Linked DNA regions of Arabidopsis thaliana. The protein of the gene in region 2 interacts with the protein of the main gene of each other region in a pairwise test. Each region holds a gene or a part of one and is shown on either strand. Other genes may lie near its edges.

Region 1 (5,615 bases), on a different chromosome or scaffold from region 2:
AAAGAGGAGAAAAAGAAGGAATCAGCCGGTGAGGCAGTCTTCCCATGTGTCCTTCAGATTTTACCTAACTGTGTGTTCAATAAGAGAGACCCAATAATCCTTGGAGTTAAGGTCCACGACGGTATACTTAAGGTATCCTATTCTTACTCTGCTATATTCTCGGTAACTTGCTCACATGTCCAAGGATTCTCAATCCTTTTAACATTCGTCTTGTTTGTTTTAGATCGGAACCCCCATTTGCGTCCCGGGCAGAGAGTTCACAGATATTGGCCGCATTGCCTCTATTGAGAACAACCACAAGCCTGTTGACTATGCAGAGAAGGGCGACGAGGTGGCGATTAAGGTAATAAGGGGATCATTCCCTTCAACAACCTTTGTATAGAGAAAGAGAGAGAGAGACAAAAGTTGTTGAGGTTTCAACTTGATGCTTTTCTCTGGTTGTATAACAGATTGTTGCTTCAAATCGCGAAGAACAGAAGATGTTTGGAAGGCATTTTGACATGGAAGATGAGCTTGTGAGTCACATTTCGAGGAGATCTATCGACATACTCAAAGCTGACTACATGGTAAGTCAAGGATAAGATAAGTTGTTTCCCATCTACGTTTTCTTTGACTCATTATTCTGACCCAAAACAAATGCTCGAAATTAAAACCAATAACAATTGCAGAAAGAAATGTCGACAGAGAAATGGAAGCTCCTATTGAAACTGAAGAGAATCTTCAAGATTCCCTGAACAGTCAAATGTCTACTCTAGAGCTTAAAACACTCGCGGGCCTTGTTGTTACGTCGTGTCTGCTGCATAACGAAGGGATTTATCTTCCTGATTCGTTTTTTTAATAACTATATTAGGCTGAAATTTGTAACCCTGTTAATTAATTTAGCCAATATCAAGAAAACTCTTAATAGGTAATACTGAAATTATATAATCTTATTGAAATTCTAAATTCTCATATAAAGCATGTTATTTCGTTAAAGAGAGTTTGTTACAGACTCTGACTTATATAGAGGCCTCTTGAACCCGGTCTACACACTAAACCTTAATTAGGGTTAACTCAACCGAGCTACAATCATCATATACAGTATATTATTAGTATATATCTTCAAATAATAACCGGGAAGAAAATGTGATGCAAAATTTAAATAATGATGACTAAAGTAGCAAGATGAATTGGTGCACACAAAAAGAAAAGTAGCTAGATGATAAAAAAAAAAAGTTATAGCTAAGCCCAGGCTGTGATTTGCTCTACTATTTTCAAATTATACAAAACTGAAAGCAATACAAAATGGAAAGTAAATGAAGTGGAGACTAGTTTTTTTTTGTTCTTGTTTTTTTCCCAATTTAATCATTTTTATTTACTCACTAAATAAGTAATTAAAAATTAAGGAGAGATGGGTTGGTTATATTATTATATAATATCAACAAATATAAGAATATAATGTAGTTTTTATTACTTAAATTATCGAAATTTGTATAATCTTATTAAAAGTTAAATTATTAAAATTAAGGAGAGATGGGTTGGTTATATTATTATATAAAAATTTGTATAATTTTTGAGGAGCAACCATAGTCCAAGACCCCACCAAGGCTAAAATCACTCCGACGGCGATGGCAATAACTCTTTTTTTATCTACTCCTATAGCCATCGTTAGAGCCATCTCCCTTTACTTCATCTAGCCAAATAACTTATTTTGTGTTTTATGATCATATTTTAAAAAGTTGCATGTACCCATTACAATATAAACACCCAAAAAGTGATACTTCTTATAACTCAATAAATGTATCTAACAAAATTAGAACCTCTTTTTTGATATATTTTTTTCAAAAATATTAATTTAGAATCGTGATACAAGATTTAACACAAAATGTAATCAATGAAACGACATATAGTGTGGTCTCATAGATGTTAGTTACATGATATCTACTTTAATTAAGGTCACGATATTATTAACATGATAATTTTTCTTTTCTTTTTAATTAATTTAGCTTTGTCTATTGTTTTTTCCTAATTTTAAAAAGAAAAAGAAAAGTTGGTTGCATTCTTTTCCTAACGCCGTCTATTGTTCTTCGTCCTCGCTCGTCGTCGCGTTCTCTCTCTCAAACTCTCAGGTAAGCTTCTTCAGTTTCCCACTTTCCCTCTTACACCAATATCCAATTTTGTGTGTTTGCAAATAAATATGTGTTAAGTAATGTGGTTTCGTTTCTAGCTGCAAGTTTCTTCCTTTCCAAAGGTTTGTGTCGATCTTAAAATCCCAGAGTTTGATAAACCTAATTCTCTCCTTCCGTTTTTAATTTTGTAGAAACTTGACCTATACTAGGCCCTGAGTCTGATTGCGAGAATCGCTGACAAAAAAATGCAATTTTCTTGTGATCCTGTAAGTGAAATTGGGTGAGATTTCGATTTGGTTTGTTTTGTTTGTGCGAATTTCGCCAATGATGTTTTTGTGTGAAGGATCAAGAAGGAGATGAGCTGCCACAATATGAACACATTTATCAAAATGACTTCTCTTATCGAAAGTAAGATCCTTTCTTTGATTGCTGGCTCGTGGCTTTCGGTTATCTTCTCAGTATGCGTTGTTGTTAAGTACACATTTGTTTAACGCTTCTATAGGCACAAGAAACAAAAGGAAGAAGATATATCTATCTGCGAATGCAAGTTTGATTTCGGAGACCCTGACAGTGCTTGTGGTGAGAGATGCCTCAATGTCATTACCAACACTGAATGTACTCCTGGTTACTGCCCCTGTGGTGTCTATTGCAAGAATCAGGTTAACAACTTGAAATCTTTGCTTCCACGTTTTCATGTAATTCTAGAATCTAAGATTTGCGTTAAAGCTTGGTGATGTTCTTACAAGTTCCTATTCAAACTAATGATAATTGAGTTAAATGAATGTTAATTAGTAGTTTTACATGCTTTGCCGGTTACAGAAGTTCCAAAAATGTGAATACGCCAAAACAAAGTTGATCAAGTGTGAAGGTCGTGGTTGGGGACTAGTGGCTCTTGAAGAGATAAAGGTGAGGACTCAAAATTTATTCTTGTGTCTTTATCATGTCTGATACTCTTTACCAAGATTTATGACAATTTCCGTCACACTTCGTTGATCTAATGCAAATGGGCAAATAACATGGCTGGTGTATTCTTTTTCTTAAGTAAATAGTCAATTGGGTTTGATTAAATGACTGGTTGTATTTGATGCTATGATTTAGGCGGGGCAATTTATAATGGAGTACTGTGGTGAAGTAATATCATGGAAAGAAGCAAAGAAGAGGGCTCAAACTTATGAAACTCATGGTGAGTAGAAACTTTACAGAGATGATGAGAGTGTTGTAATGCTATAGGTGATGTTAGGTGATGTGTTAATTATGTGTTACATGAGCAGGTGTCAAGGATGCATACATTATATCTCTCAATGCATCTGAGGCTATTGATGCCACTAAGAAGGGAAGCCTTGCTAGGTTTATAAATCATTCATGGTAAAACGAACAACTGGCTTTTTACATGCTTCAAAGAAATTCATATCTATAAAACGTTCCTTATCGTTTCTTTCTCTATTTTCCTGCAGTAGACCAAATTGTGAGACGAGGAAGTGGAATGTACTGGGAGAAGTTAGGGTTGGGATCTTTGCAAAAGAGAGCATCTCTCCCCGGACCGAATTGGCTTACGACTATAATTTTGAATGGTACGGTGGTGCCAAAGTGCGTTGTCTCTGTGGTGCGGTTGCATGCTCTGGATTTCTTGGAGCCAAGTCTCGTGGCTTTCAGGCAAGTCCTTACGTTATCATCCTCATAGTATTATTTGTCAAAAATTGGGAGGAATGAAATTAATCATACTGGTCTATACCTAACCTTATACCTTTCTATCATTTCAGGAGGATACATATGTATGGGAGGATGGTGACGATCGGTAATTTTCTTTTCACTTATTTTATGCGGCATAAAAATGGTCATGGATCTTGCGAGAAAGGAATGTTTTTCATCTTGGACTGGCGATATTTTAGCCCCTCTCTTTTCTTTGTCTCCAGGTATTCAGTTGATAAAATTCCAGTCTATGATTCTGCAGAGGACGAGCTTACATCTGAGCCTTCTAAGAATGGCGAGTCCAACACAAATGAAGAGAAAGAGAAAGATATCTCAACAGAGAACCATTTGGAGTCTACTGCTCTGAATATTCAACAGCAATCAGATTCAACTCCAACTCCTATGGAGGAAGATGTCGTCACGGAGACTGTTAAAACCGAAACATCTGAAGACATGAAGCTGCTCTCACAAAATTCACAAGAAGATTCATCGCCAAAGACTGCAATTGTATCACGGGTTCACGGTAACATTTCCAAGATCAAGTCCGAATCTCTTCCGAAGAAAAGAGGCAGGCCGTTTTCAGGCGGAAAAACAAAGAATGTCGCTCAGAAGCATGTTGACATAGCGAATGTGGTTCAGCTACTAGCAACCAAAGAAGCTCAAGATGAAGTTCTCAAATACGAGGTAAAACAGTTTTTCAAGCGTATAGGTACAAATTCAAAACCTTCTCAGTATCAGATGTGTTTGGTAAATTGTTGCTTGCAGGAGGTGAAGAAGGAAGCAGCAGTACGACTCTCGTCATTGTACGACGAGATAAGGCCGGCGATTGAGGAGCATGAAAGAGATAGCCAAGACAGTGTAGCAACAAGTGTGGCGGAGAAATGGATACAAGCAAGCTGTAATAAACTCAAGGCAGAGTTTGATCTTTACTCTAGTGTAATAAAGAACATCGCTTCCACTCCCATCAAACCACAAGACACAAAGACCAAAGTCGCGGAAGCAGGAAACGAAGACCATATTAAACTCTTGGAAGCCAAATGAGAATTAGCTCGGAAGGACACCTCTAATGGACAAAAAAATATCTTAAGAACTGGAAGCTAACTTGGTTTACTTTTCACGTTTGAAAATGTAATAAATATTTTTAAAATGAGAACATTTTGTTGAAATTTAAAATTTTAGTAATCAAATTTTTATTAATCAATTCTACCAAAAAAATAAAAATTAGTAATCAAAATAATTTAATAAAGACATTTTGAATGATAAAAAAAACTTTTTTAGTTAAAATTTTATATTTATGTAAAACATATTGATCGTAGAACATCGCTTAAGGATTTTATACTATGGGGGGATGTTGTGTCCAATTATTTTACACATATTGAATTTAACACTTAAAAACAAAAATATTATGTATATTTTAAAAATTAAAATATTTTGTGTAAAATATTACTTAAAACATATTGAACGTAGAACACCGTATAAGGACTTCATACTATGGACGGGATGTTGTGTCCAATTATTTTACACATATTAAACTTTAACACTTAAAAACAAAATATTATGTATATCTAAAAAGTTAAAATATTTTGTCTAAAATATTACTTTAAAAATAAAAATAAAAACCTTATATTTTAAATAGTTATAAAAATAATATAAATGTTAAAATTTAATATGTGCAAAACATATTGAACCTAGGACACCACTAAAGGACCTCATACTATGGACGGGATGTTGTGTCCAATTATTTTACACATATTAAACTTTAACAATTAAAACCAAAATATTATGTATATTAAAAAAAAAAATATTTGTCTAAAATAT
Region 2 (3,259 bases):
TAAATGTACTAGTGAGGGGAAATTTTGGAACGTTTCATAGATATTCAACTTTACCATAGATCATTTTGAAATGTCTATAAACGAAATTAATCACCTTTTTTATACTTACTTATATTTTTCTTAACTATATTTTTTCTAATAATCAAAATCGTTATAGGGGAAAATTCGTTGTATTGGCCTAGCTAGTTAAGAACATCGGTGGATGTTTTTCGAGTTTTTGGATATTTAAGTTGGTTAACACATTTCACTCCAGTAAACGGACCAATTAGAAAAAGCCACATATGAGTCTTTTTCACTCCAAAAATTCCTAAGATTAAGGATGTCTATTAACAATATTGGCATTTTTTATTTATTTTGAGCTTTTTTTTACGGACTCATACATTTAAAGCCCCTTAGAAAACCACCATTAGAGATGGTCTAAACGCTTTCTAGTCAAAGGGCACTGGTACCCATAGTCTAATATCTTTAAGATGAACAATTTACTTGGGTTTACAATCGATATATTTTCTTATTTTTGCATGCATAGGAAAAGAGATGTAATAATATTAGACAAAGATAAATCTAAAACCCGATCATTTTAATACGAGACTTGGTAAGTTTTGGAAACAAAAACGATAAAAAATGGTTTATTAATTTGATACGACAAAAACTACATTGTGATTCATCTAGCTGCGACGAGGATAGTCAAAACCACAACTACAACAGCTTGTACCAGTCTGATTATGATAGGTTATGAGACCACACCTAGAACAGCTTGTACTAGGAGTCCGAGTAAGAGAAGCCATCATTACCTCCACGGCAAGATTTGGGTAATTATCAACGAACAACTTGAACTCATCAAAGCTAGGAAACATAAGTTCATTTGTTTTAATATAACTAAGGGCTGCATCGTTGAGGACTTTGTCAAAAGGGATTTGTGCGAGCTCAAGAAGGTTAAGAGAATTCGTCGAATTCAGAGAAGATATAAGCTCAGATCTGCATAGCTCTCGTAGTCGGAGAATCTCGTATTTGTCAGCCGCACGATAGAGTGCCCGAGCATGTTGCTTCACTTTCGAAGAAAGCATAGAACCATCACTATATAGAAACTCAACAAAAGCTTCTAGCTCTTCTTGTTTCATCTCTAAGAGAGTGATTGTTCCCACCTGCTTAGCCGAAGTCTTGAACTCGTCTGATTCTAGCATCTTCTTCAAAACCGCCGATCTTGATGCCTATTCAAATCCCAAACATACTTGTTGAGAGAATCATTACAATAACCACACCAACCCAACAAAAAAAAACTTCACATAAAAGGAACACTCACTAAACATTAACATTTCTAAATTTAATTGATTCTTGAATAAGATGATGATATCAATAAAGAGAAGATGAAAAAAGAAGAGACCAGAATAACTTTTTGGGCAGAGATAATTGAACCATCATCACTATCCACTGCCTTGAGCCGTACGTCAACTTGCCAATTTTCTGCCAAGATCTTCGCAAGTCCCCAGAGAAATGGTCTTGGTTGGTTTGTGTTGCCATATCAATAATGTAACGTATATTTGAGGTTGTAAAGGATGGTGGATTATATAGAGAAGATAATGACAATTGAAAACGGTCAAAATAACTTTTTACTTTTCCTATCTGCTTCCAATTTTCAAGACTTTGGAAATGACTTTTTATATTTCCCATCTGCGTCCAATTTTCAAGATTTGGAAATGGATAAGACCTATCAAATATATATTAGTTTTTTTTTCTGGAATATTTGGCAAAAAACCTTGGTCTTTCAAAGTATTTATCCAAAATACCATTGGCGAATCGGATTAAAATTGAAATTGGGTCACAAAATTTCTGAAATCTTCAATTGATATGCACACCAACAATTACCATTTATCTCGCTTTCTCTAACTAAATTTGTTTTTGGGTACAATTTTTATAGATAATGAAATAAAGTATGACTATTTACTGCTAATGTAACAAACTAGATATTGACCTGCGGTACACTGCTGCTTGATTATTTTCGTTTTGAATTAATTTAATGTTTCAATTCAATATCATCTATATTTAAATAATGATCTTAGATATTCAATTTATCAAAACTCATTGTTTATATCTATTTACACTTAGTGATTATATTAGTATGTTTCTATATGGTTTTGTATAGTTCCGGAAGCATATATATTATACGCATCTATATACAAAGTGTGTATCTCCTAATTTTATACGTATCTAGAATGTGACCCGTGGTACACCAAGGGTTAAGTTTTTTGTTTATTTTAAATTTTTACAAAATGAAGAATTTGTTGTGTACAATGTCTATTGTTGTTTGTGTTGATTAATAATTTTTGATAAAGTTGTGTACGGTTTTTATTAAGTCATAAGTTTATGATATTAGTAAGTCTAATATTATTTTATCTTCTAGTATATGTCCCGTATACCCTATGTTTTATTCACAAATTTTTGTATTTTAAATTATATAATTTAAAATTTCTATATTTTTTAATTTTACCCTTAGAACATAGGTAATTTAATAATTTTTTATTACAATTATATATTTAGATGTGTTAAAGAAGATTAACATTTAGAGGTGTGAAAGAAGATTAACATTTAGAGGTGTGAAAGAAGATTAACTCTTATTTTGATATACTATAGTGTTGTTTTTTAAAAGACAAACAAAAAATCTCTCTCATCCAAACTCATCTCACCATATAAATCTGTCTCACATATAAACTCGTCCCATGGTAACTAAAACTTATTTCTTTTTTTCTTTTATTTTTAATAATATTTTTATTTAAAATATTCTGAGTTAGTTTAAAATTTTCAATCTAATGTTAATTAGTCGTAAAGTTTCCGTGATTATGTATTCTAATGTTATTTTGTATTTTATATGGTTTTCTTGAATTAGATTTGTTTTATATTAACATTATTATTTCTTAAATTTCTTTGCATCATTTTATTTATTAATTAATAACAAATACTCGAAAAAGTTATCTAACTGATGAATTGGAAACTAATTCTCTCCTATCCAAATTGGAAACCAAAATTCTCCTTCAGTTTGAAGAACATGATCTGATTATAATCGGTTCTACATGTCAATAGCTTCCGCTAATGGTCCAAGTTGAATATACTTTTGGGTCAATCGATGTGTAAGTGATTTTGATTCTTTGTTGATGTTTGTAAATATAGTTTCATTTTAAATATGAATCGTAACCCCATGGATATATTTAAACCGATTGACCATTCCGATTCTAAAACTAATTTATTTCCAGTATTTTTAATACAG
Region 3 (3,911 bases), on a different chromosome or scaffold from region 2:
GAAAAAAAAAACTTTACTAACTACATTTACTTCAATGTAGAGCTGAGATTTGGAACCCTAATTTTAAGATGAGTACAGTTCTTCAAACCCCAGATTTCTCAGATAGTACGGTTTCCGTTGAGTGGCTTTCGACTTTTGTAGCAAAAACTTGAAAACAGAGGTTTCTCTCTGTTTCTATACTTGTTGCTTCAAATGGTAAAACCGTAAAAGACTACTTAGAACGACTTCGTTTTAAAAGAAGATTCGTGAAAGAACCAAGGCCCGCGAAAACCAATGGACCTAAATTATTTTGGTCCCATTCGAGATGGGGTTTTATAGTAGTCAGTGGAAGGCCTAGTGATTTCCTCCAAATCTATTTGCAACATATTGTTTGGTTCTCTTTCTTATTTTGATTTGTAAGTTTGTATACAAAAGTGGTGCCAACAACAAAACACAAACCCAAACCCATTTGTCATTTTACTATAATGTCTTTTGAGATTACTCCAACACAAAGGACGACCTTTGTCCGAACAATGTAAGTACTATTTGTATGAATCCGTTGGAGGACGTTGCCCTACTTACTGCAGGCAACAAAGCAACAAGATTTGTCTAGACGGCATAACTCAAGAGTTTGTTGCAAGAGAAAACAGAGAGATTTAATGAGACATGAACTCTATATAGAAAGTCTTAATTCAACATGAAAACATCTCTCACGCCCAAATCCTTAGTTATAAACCAAATCCTAAGATAGACATTTTACCATTAGTAACATAATAAAAACCACTCACAGCTAAGACACATAAGACTCACAAAAGCTTAGTGAAGAGATCATCCGCTGATAATCTTGACCTTGATGGTGTGAACCAGATTACCTCCAGTCCTCTTAAGCTCGCATATCATTTTGTCAGTCATCTTCATTTTGTTCCTTCTGATGAAACTACCAAATCCCTTGACAAAGATGCAACCATTCTTTTGAATCTTGATTGCTTTCTCCAATGCTCCCATTTCGTCCACGACTGTTATACGCTCCGGGAAGGTTAAGTCATAGTCCCTTATGACATGAGCCGGTATGTGCTGCATCAAGAAACAAACATCATAAAACAGATTGAGATATTCCTTATTAATTTATTCACATAAGAATCCATAACCAAAGATGTTAAATGGAGAGTGTGTAAAGATCTTAAATATTCAGGTTTTTTTTTCTCTTACCAATTGGCTCTTCTTCTTCGGATTGAGTGTCATAGTAAAGTACGGGTTCTCGTGATCATCCAGATACCGCCTTTCGTCATCCTCATCCTCAAGATCATCTTCATCCTCAAGACCATCATCATCCTTAGCATCATAACCATCCTCAGCCTCATCATCATCTTCATCCTCAAGACCATCACTATCCTTAGCATCATAACCATCCTCAGCCTCAACATCTACTTCATCCTCAAGACCATCATCATCCTCAGCAACATTATCATCCTCAACAGAATAATCATTATCAGAATCGTCAGAATCATCACTATTAAGAACGATAACATCATCACTAGCCTGAGATTCTTCTTCACAATCAGATCCCACTTTGATGATGTCCTTGCTTTGCTCTGAACTTCTCTTAAGCCTCTTACACGTAGTCTCATGGTCAAAGATAGAGAAATTAAAAAAATGAGAGCCATCAAACTCAAATGACAAGAGATCTCCACCGTTCAGGTTTTCGTCCCTTACAATCTTCTTCCAACCACTAACCATAACAAATCTCTCAACCTCACCACCACATTTCTTAAACCCTAATTTCCAAATGTTTCCAGAAATGCTTCTAACAGTTACAGTTTTAGGCAAAGACTTTGGTAAACAGCTGTTGAAAGAAATGGGTAGTACCTGAAAAGTTTCTACAAATTTCAAGCAACCAGAAAACAAAAAACAGAGTGAAGAGAAGTGTGTTTTATTACCAGATCATCACCGGATTCACTAGGAAGGTACGGTTTAAAGAACTTTGAAGTAAAACCATTAGAGTAATTTCCTGTTCCAAAATAAGAAAAGGAAGAACATCAATGTACAGAGCACATTACAAGGGAAGAATCAGGAACAGAGAAGTGAAAAACCTCTTGTGTTCATTGTCGTCAACTTCTTGTGCTCTTGGAAATACTCTGAACCCTAATTTTGATCGGAAATAAAAAGGTGAACAAAGTTTCTCCAGATCCAAGTTTTTCCAGATGTGATTTGATCTAAAGGTGTTGGCCTTTTGTAGCAAAAACTTGCAAAAACAGAGGGTTCTCTCTGTTTCGATGCTTTTTCCTTCAAATGGAAAACAAACCATTAATAGTACTCTTCTTATTCAAAAATAATTCGTTAAGCGGACCAAGGTATCGCTAAGGCCCAAACAAAAAACAAGAAATGGGCCTTAAGTTTGGTTCAATCTATATCGTGTAAATGACATTATCGTCCTTAAACAAAAGAACCACAGTAAAGAGTCGAGAAGGGTATATTAGAGAAAGAAGGACTTGTGACATCTCAATTCTTGAACAAGAAACTTGAAACTTGAAAGAAGAATGAGATAGTGTTAAGTGGCAGAGTTCCAAGTATCTTAGTATTATTCTCCTCCTATGCCAATGCTTTTCTTATGATCACATAGAGAGTAATAACATTCTTTTTACATGAACTCGCAGGTTTTAAACAGCCCTGATGTGTGAACCATTCATAATGATTTCTCCCAAAATCTATAGCTCTAGTATACATTATTATTGTAAGACTGTGTTGATCGTCTTTTGCACTTCATGTTTCAGACAAACAAACAAAATCAAGAAGTGTATAGAAAGCATCAACATCGATTATGTTCCGAGAAAACCAATAAGATTCATAAAACCAAGTACTCTACTCATATAAAAACTCTCAAGTAAAAATAGATAATGTCTTGGAGTTAACGCATAAAGCCTTATCAAGAGATCATCCTCTTATAACATGGACCTTGATTTCTCGAACAAGACCATCCATCTCCTTTTCTAACTCACAAATCACCTTGTCATTCAACTTCACATTATTCCTTCTGATTATACTACGGAATCCCTTGATTGTTTGACCCTTAACTTTCCTCTTCAATTTACCAAAGTTTTTCTCGAGTGGATCAATCAAATTGATGAACTCAGGGAAGTGTAAGCCATACTTCGTTATGACCTTAGTTGGTATGCGCAGCTGCATTACAAAGATAACATCATAAAACAGAAGTGGTACATTATTTTAATGAAAATGCAAAAAGACATGAGACTTTCTTCACATTTCTTACCATATTATATTTTATTTGCCGATGCTGGTTCACTGTAAAGAAAGGGTTCATGTGATTATCCAGATATTGTCTGTCATGCTCTCCAGAAGAACCTATCAAAATTTATACGCAAGAAAATAAAAAGACAGTGATGCTCTCAGTCTCAGTTAACTTCACAAGACAAAAGTTTCTATTATACCTTTCTTTTTTTTCTCTGTTTTGACTCCTCTCCATCTTTCTTTCTCAACATCAGCATGATCATCGTCACCATAATCTTGATCATCATCATCATCATCATCATCAATAACTATGATATCTTCACTAGATGTATCTTCCTCAACATAATCTTGAACATCATTAATATCATCATTATCAGCATCATCAAGAGCTGTAATATCTTCACTAGATGTATCTTCCTCATTATAATCTTGAACATCACTAATATCATCATCATCAAGAACTATGAAATTTTCACTAGATTTAACTTCTTCCCCATAATCTTGATCATCATTAAAACCATCATCATTGTCATCAAGAACCGTGATTTGCACTGAACTTCTAAGCCTTTTACACGTTGCACGACCATAGATACAGAAATTGAAACACCAAGAGCCATCAAACTCAAATTCTAAGAACTCTCCACCTTTCAAATCTTCGTCCTTGACTATCTTCTTCCACCCATTAA

Evidence for each region.
Region 1: the proteins of AT2G05330 (region 2) and ASHH1 interact in a two-hybrid assay, tested with the Arabidopsis thaliana proteins (one large-scale study listed by BioGRID).
Region 3: the proteins of AT2G05330 (region 2) and AT5G60140 interact in a two-hybrid assay, tested with the Arabidopsis thaliana proteins (one large-scale study listed by BioGRID).

What each region holds. Positions count from the first base shown.
Region 1 is NC_003070.9:28,789,110-28,794,724, reverse strand, and holds ASHH1 (SET domain group 26), read left to right. Parts: upstream 1-2,005; 5' UTR 2,006-2,108; exon of another isoform or gene 2,109-2,299; 5' UTR 2,300-2,353; coding exon 2,354-2,374; intron 2,375-2,451; coding exon 2,452-2,516; intron 2,517-2,610; coding exon 2,611-2,767; intron 2,768-2,927; coding exon 2,928-3,014; intron 3,015-3,206; coding exon 3,207-3,291; intron 3,292-3,379; coding exon 3,380-3,473; intron 3,474-3,562; coding exon 3,563-3,761; intron 3,762-3,868; coding exon 3,869-3,903; intron 3,904-4,021; coding exon 4,022-4,838; 3' UTR 4,839-5,005; downstream 5,006-5,615. Other genes in the region: AT1G76720 (eukaryotic translation initiation factor 2 (eIF-2) family protein), read left to right, coding at 1-132, 224-343, 450-581. UniProt on the Arabidopsis thaliana protein: Histone methyltransferase involved in regulation of flowering time. Required for the expression of the SOC1/AGL20 gene. Required for histone H3 trimethylation on 'Lys-4' (H3K4me3) at the SOC1 locus.
Region 2 is NC_003071.7:1,937,953-1,941,211, forward strand, and holds AT2G05330 (BTB/POZ domain-containing protein), read right to left. Parts: upstream 1,519-3,259; coding exon 1,414-1,518; exon of another isoform or gene 1,382-1,413; intron 1,209-1,381; coding exon 666-1,208; 3' UTR 625-665; downstream 1-624. UniProt on the Arabidopsis thaliana protein: May act as a substrate-specific adapter of an E3 ubiquitin-protein ligase complex (CUL3-RBX1-BTB) which mediates the ubiquitination and subsequent proteasomal degradation of target proteins.
Region 3 is NC_003076.8:24,213,270-24,217,180, forward strand, and holds AT5G60140 (AP2/B3-like transcriptional factor family protein), read right to left. Parts: upstream 2,248-3,911; 5' UTR 2,083-2,247; coding exon 2,070-2,082; intron 1,988-2,069; coding exon 1,917-1,987; intron 1,846-1,916; coding exon 1,189-1,845; intron 1,054-1,188; coding exon 808-1,053; 3' UTR 596-807; downstream 1-595. Other genes in the region: AT5G60142 (AP2/B3-like transcriptional factor family protein), read right to left, coding at 2,911-3,156, 3,248-3,339, 3,426-3,911.